2 linked regions of the Tribolium castaneum genome follow. Each later gene encodes a partner of the first gene's protein in a complex. Links are inferred from orthologs where the notes say so. Each region holds a gene or a part of one and is shown on either strand. Other genes may lie near its edges.

Region 1 (3,378 bases):
TCGGTTGTTGTTTTGGATGCGCAGTAGAGGAAGTTATTGCGATCGATTGTTTTGTGTCATAACAAGCAAAAGTGACCAAAGTGAACAAACGTATCGAAACCTTGTCAACGGCCCAAATTCCTGTGTCAAAACCCTCAAAATGAAATTCCAATACAAAGAAGAGCACCCGTTTGAGAAGAGAAAGTCCGAGGGCGAGAAAATCCGCCGAAAGTACCCCGACAGGGTCCCCGTAAGTATCTGCGTCATTGCACCCAAACAAAGAAGCGCCCCGTCCAGAGCCCCAAATTGGGGCCAAAGCCCCCGTTCCTAGCCCCATTTTCCCCGATTTCACCACACGTCGTCATTTGTTTTGTTTTTACGAAAATGGCGTATCAAGGTCACGTGATGTCAATTGTTTTCGTAATCAGGTGATCGTCGAAAAAGCCCCCAGGGCCCGAATTGGTGATTTGGACAAGAAGAAATATTTGGTTCCGTCGGATTTGACCGTGGGACAGTTTTACTTTTTGATTAGGAAACGGATCCATTTAAGGCCCGAGGATGCGTTGTTTTTCTTTGTAAATAACGTCATTCCGCCCACTTCGGCCACCATGGGCTCGCTCTACCAGGTTGGTAGCACTGGTGTGTGATCTAGGGGATTTACTCACGGTTTTAGGAGCATCACGAAGAGGACTTTTTCTTGTACATTGCTTACTCTGATGAAAACGTTTACGGAAGCGAGGAGCTCTAATTTAGCAACAAATGAAATTTTTATAAATCTCTGATTACAATAAAGCACCGGTAAAAGTTTAACATTTATTTTATATTACTTATAAGGCTTTTGTTTGTCTGAGTGGCGACTTTTTCTAATTGTGATAGTTGTATTGTTTATTTTTATCTTCTGATAGGGCTGAATATTCTAACACTTTTGAGTTGAATGTTACGGAAGCGCTGCTATGAAAGGAAGACGTTTCATCACAAATTTAATAAACTGATATTTAATTTTTGATGGAATTACGAAAGTATTAGATTAGGTATGTAAAAGAGATGATGTAGTTATCTAAATAAAAATATTTAAAAACCAAGACTTTTTAGTTATTATTTGTTTGCAAAAACTTCGTGAAATTGTTATCATTGTGTTAACAATTCAAATTTTTGGTGGTGTCCTTTGTTTTGTTGGGTTTTCCCCAACTGTGTAAATTTATTCTATTTTAATGGTGAAAAGCCGATCCTTAGGCCACTAACTAGTGCACATATAACTAAAGAACTAATTTTAGTGTTAAATACGATAACGAAAGTGCAATATTTTCCCCATTTTAGGAATTAAGAACGCATTTCAATTTTATGTTGGTAGTGACAAAATCACTAGCAGCGCCATCTCCTTTCACCGCAACATCTGCAAAGGTGAGTGTCTTCGAAGTGAATTTTTACAAAAATCCACAATCATCGTCCATTTTTCGTTACTTTTTTGCCCCAAAACCTTTTCTAAAACAATCGTCGGCTCATTTAAAACCCAAATCTAGTGTTATTTCAGTGAAATTGTGCCGAAAAAACATTTTGTGAGGTTATTCGTAAAAGTGTCAATACACCGTCTTACATCCGTAAAATGCCTTTAAAGTGATGATTTTATTTGCCTTAGGACACTTCTGAAGACTGCAGTGTCGAATAACGTGAATCTGACCACTTTTGTGAAAATTCGCCAACATAACCCCAGATTTCGGCAGTCACACGTTGCACTCATAACCCAGTGTGTTTTTTCAGATGGCACCGACAGCGAAGGCTGCAAAGCAGGAAAAAAAGCCGGACGATAAGAAAAAATCGTCGAAACCGCGCAACTACGACCTCGGCAATGGCGTAATGCGTTTTTCCCGCACCCGCATGTACCATAAGAAAGCCCTTTACAAGTTCATGGGCAAGAAAGTGAAGGCCACTAAAAAACCGGCGAAGCCAGCTTTCGTCACGAAGCAAATCGGCGGCGACAAAAACGGCAAGGAACGCAAGGTTTTCCTTAAGAAACGCCGCAATTATTACCCCACTCAGGACAAGATCCGCAAGCACCCGGCGAAGAAAACGTTCAAGCAACATAAACGCCACTTGCGCTCGACTCTTACTCCCGGCACTGTGTGTATCCTTCTCGCGGGCTCGCACAAGGGCAAGCGGGTCGTGTTCTTGAAGCAGTTGCACTCGGGGCTGCTGCTGGTGACGGGGCCCATGCAGATCAACTCGTGTCCCTTGAGGCGGATCAGTCAGAGATATGTTATAGGCACGCAGACGAAAATCGATGTTAGCGGTGTGAAAATCCCGGAAACTATCAATGATGAGTATTTCCGGCGCAAGAGGGAGAAGAGGGCCAAGAAGGAGGAAGGGGATATTTTCCAGGCCAAGAAGGAGGCGTACAAAGTGAGCGATCAGAGGAAAGCTGACCAAAAAGTAGTCGACAAGCAAGTCTTTGAAGCTATTAAGAAGCACCCCGATAGGAAAGTTTTGTTGGCTTATTTGTCGGCTATGTTCGGGCTGAGGTCGTCGCAGTACCCTCACAGAATGCAGTTTTAGATTAAGTACCATGTTTTATTGATTTAACTGTAAAAAATTGACAATTCAATAAAGGATGGTTTTCTATACACACAGCCCACATTTATTTTTCTTACTAAAAAATCGGTTTATGCTACGGAGGTCTGTACGGTGTCCTACCGACTTGGTAATATTTAAAGTTAAATATCTTTCAAGTAATCAGCACTTGAAAGACACTTAACTCTTATTGTTTTTGGATAGACAGTTTAAAGGTCTTTTAAATGTAAAAATAAAAAATAGTGTTCCATTTAAAATTTTTAAGTTATTTAACTTTTAACAAACATTTTTTTGATCGAAATGACTAAGAAAAAATACATTCCTAAAGTTTAAACATTTTACTTGAAAGTGGTGAAAGTCCAATTTTTGTAGTCTTAGTTTTTGAGTAATACATTTTTAAAATAAGAGTGTTTTCGTTAAAATACTTAAAAAACCAAGGAAAATAAACAGACATTAGTTAAGTCAAAATTATTAGTTTTAAAAGCTACATCAAAAATGCAAATAAATTACAAAAAAACAACATGTATATAGAAAGTTAGTCTCTACGGCTTAGGAAAATTAGTAATTTTTGTATTAAGTGCGCGAAATGAGTGTTTTTTTAATGGCGCCTGAGAATGTTATTTTAGTCGAGACCGCCAGGTCGAGACCTAAAAGACATTCGAAGGCGCCATTAAAACATGAATTTCGCCACGAAATACAAACAACGTTTTTTCTACAGCCTCCAGATGAAGAAAAAAGTAACAGAAATTAGTTGGAACAAAATGGTCTGATAAATCGAGTTGCTTGCATGGTTACGATGATAAATAAAAGTGATAGTTGCGAAAAATTTGTCAC
Region 2 (3,342 bases), on another chromosome or scaffold:
CAAGACAAACTAACTGCACAATTTTAGGGAAGTTGCGATAATATCCCGCCAGGTTACGAGGCAGTTTCGCTGATTGAGGCCTTGAACGGTCCGTGTATTCCCCGACAGCCCCCATCGGCAATGCCCGACTTGGTCGAGACTCCCGAAAGTGAGCATGCCATTCAAGCTGCCCAGATTTTAAACCGCAGTGCTGATCGCACGCCACTGAAGAGCAAGGGGTCGGACCCTACGACTCCTGAGGTTTGTTCCAAATTATAGGTTTCTGTAAGTTTGCTGTGATTTGGTTTTTTTTTAGTATGGGGTTTTGATGACGACTCGTGTGGAGGAGGACACTAAGGAGACCCCCAAATGTCCCCTCCTTGAGCAGAAAATTTCAAGTCCGCGTCTGAAGCACCGCATCCACGATGCAGTTAAACACGTTAATGAGAAGTCTGAAAAAGATGAAAATGGTGATGAAGACAGTGATGCTGAAAAACTGTCTCCTTTGTTGCAAAACAGCGAAAATCTGAGAAATGGGAGTTTGGCGTTGAATATGGTGGATGTGGTTGAGCCTATTGATGATACAGACACGGATCATGAAGATATTGCTTCAAGGCCGGCTTCGGAAAAAACAAAAACATATCGTAAGTGACTTATGAAATTTTATTTTTCGTTTTTAAATGGAAGAGTCAAGTTTATTTGCAAGCTTGACACTTAATCAGGGTTGGTTTTAAATAAAATTTTAATCTCTCTGTTTTAAGTTTGCGGCATAAATTAATTTTTTTAAGGGAGCAATGGTGAAGAGCGAGGAGACGAGTCTGATTATTACACTCCTGAAGAGCCAGCCCCGACTCCTGGGCCACTATACGAGAGTACTGGTGCTACTAGTTCTGTTGAAAGTACTCCGCAAAAATTACCGGGGACGCCGATGTCGCATGCTAGTGCTAGAAGTAGTGGGGATAGCTATACTAGCGGGTCAAGCACTAGACATTTGTTGGCTGTTGTGGCTCATAATGGGTTAAATGAAAGAGCTGTACATATTTAATTATGTACATTTTAATTTTATTGGTAATTACGGGCACACAATTATTTTATTTGTATTATTTGAGCACGGTTTTACCAGTTTGTGACTTGACATTAGGTAACGAGATTCATTTTTTTAACCAAAATACTCATTTGTGATAAATTGAGGCATTTAAACGTCCCAAATCAATGGATTTTAATGCGGAAATATCGAATTTTTCATTTATGTATATATTGTGCAGTTGTACCTACAATTTAGTCTTAATTAACTCTACAGGTTTGGATAATCAAGTAATTTATATTTTAAAGGTGATATTGGTTTTGTATATAATTTGTTAAAATATATGTCTATCAAATAGTTTTATACTTATTTTCCCCCTTACAATAACAATTTTTTTTGTAAAAAATATGTGGAGCTGAAACGATTTGAATAGTTGGGGATTTATTGTTTTCGTTTCTTTTCGCTTTAGGTTGGCACAGCTGGTTGTCAACCTCTTCATTGTTGTCCTCGTCTCACGTCTACTTCGTAAGTAAATTTCTGCTAATATTTTAGTCATCTTCCACTATTTCGCCACAAATTTGCTACCAATTGATTCATTGTTTCGTATTCTTTACGAATTGAATAATAAATTTGGTTATTTCGTTGCAGATCAAGATGGGTAGACGTCCAGCGAGATGGTAGGTTACTTTCCCATAACCAAACATTTCTGCTCACAGTTTTTTTTCCAGTTATCGCTACTGCAAAAACAAGCCGTACCCCAAATCGCGTTTCTGTCGCGGTGTCCCCGACCCGAAAATCCGTATTTTCGACTTGGGCAAGAAGAAAGCAACAGTGGACGACTTCCCACTGTGCGTCCATTTAGTCTCCGATGAGTACGAACAGTTGAGTTCGGAGGCTCTTGAAGCTGGGCGTATTTGCGCCAACAAGTACCTCGTCAAGAACTGCGGTAAAGACCAGTTCCACATTCGCATGAGACTCCATCCGTTCCACGTTATCCGCATCAACAAGATGTTGTCATGTGCTGGAGCCGATAGGTGCGTTGATGATTCACGTCGTGACTTGCATTATTACAAGCTTGCTTATTTTGCATTGGTTGTCTGCCTTTTTCGTGTTTTCCGAGTCAAATTTGAAAGGGTTCTTGTACGAATGAACTGAAATTTTGCATACTTACGTTATCTGCAGTCTGGTGTTTTGCAGGATAATTGTTATTGTTTTTGAGATATTGTGATGTTCTTGGTCTGTTCGCTTTAATTCATTATTTGGTTAATAGTTTTATAATTCAAGTAATGAAATACTAAGAAAAAACAGCAGTTTGACGAGAAAATCGTTTTGGGTGTGAAAATGTTTGATATTTTGAACATTATTTTTTCTTTTTTAGTGCATTTTTTAAATAAGTTTGTTTTTATTTTGTTTTTGGTGTTTAGGCTCCAGACTGGGATGAGAGGAGCCTTCGGGAAGCCCCAAGGCACCGTCGCGCGAGTCAACATTGGCCAGCCGATCATGAGTGTGCGATCTAGCGACAGGTTCAAGGCCCAAGTCATTGAGGCCCTGCGTCGTGCGAAGTTCAAGTTCCCCGGACGCCAGAAAATCTACGTTTCGAAGAAGTTTGGTTTTACGAAATATGACCGCGAAGTGTACGATAAGTTGAAGGAGCAAGGAAGGCTGGCCCCTGACGGTTGCAATGTTCGCTACAGGCCCGAACACGGCCCCCTTGACGCATGGAAAAAGGTACAAGAAGAACTACTAACTGTTTGATTTGTACGTTTTTATTTCTGAATAAAAAATACACGGTAAATATTTTTTTCACTTAAACCTAGAGATGTTCCTGGAACCATAGCAATGAATTTATCAAGTTGTCCATTTCGTTAGGAATTTGGGCTAGGGGGTGATTATCTTCGTATAAATTCATCCTGAAACACAATATCAGAAAAAAAAAACAAAGTCGTGTTAGTTACACACTTAATTTTAACCCCGTTTGCTTTCAATCTGTGGTAGTACTCCAGACTTTGGTGTGGGGGCACCCGCAAGTCCTTGCACCCCACTTGCAGCATAGTGGGCGCTTTGACGTTGTGCGCATGCTCGATGGGCGAAGCCTTGCGCATGGCAAGTAGCGCGTCTTGGCTAGGTTTCCCAACCTGGGTGTACTCGAAGCCAACTTCGACGTAACACCAGTCGGGAATGTCCGAGATGATGCTCATCGAGGCGACATCAATGACCGGATTGCGGGCCACCACAGCCTTGAACATGTCCGGGTACTTCCCACTCAAATACGTGACGAGGAAGCCGCCATGGGAACCCCCGAAAAGCACCACACCGCCAGGGTTCAACCACGCGTACTT

Evidence for each region.
Region 2: RpL6 (region 1) and RpL10 share a complex: the UniProt entries of both Caenorhabditis elegans proteins name them as parts of the large ribosomal subunit. The link is inferred for Tribolium castaneum from reciprocal best matches to the Caenorhabditis elegans genes rpl-6 and rpl-10L.

The regions. Positions count from the first base shown.
Region 1 is NC_087401.1:11,661,732-11,665,109, reverse strand, and holds RpL6 (large ribosomal subunit protein eL6), read left to right. Parts: upstream 1-1,224; 5' UTR 1,225-1,320; coding exon 1,321-1,380; intron 1,381-1,737; coding exon 1,738-2,529; 3' UTR 2,530-2,597; downstream 2,598-3,378. Other genes in the region: gamma-aminobutyric acid receptor-associated protein, read left to right, coding at 17-229, 408-605, 653-727. UniProt on the Caenorhabditis elegans protein: Component of the large ribosomal subunit.
Region 2 is NC_087395.1:15,962,208-15,965,549, forward strand, and holds RpL10 (large ribosomal subunit protein uL16), read left to right. Parts: upstream 1-1,412; 5' UTR 1,413-1,528; intron 1,529-1,651; 5' UTR 1,652-1,657; coding exon 1,658-1,680; intron 1,681-1,731; coding exon 1,732-2,037; intron 2,038-2,427; coding exon 2,428-2,758; 3' UTR 2,759-2,798; downstream 2,799-3,342. Other genes in the region: Mrgn1 (E3 ubiquitin-protein ligase MGRN1), read left to right, coding at 28-240, 296-623, 768-1,024; acylamino-acid-releasing enzyme, read right to left, coding at 2,817-2,913, 2,963-3,342.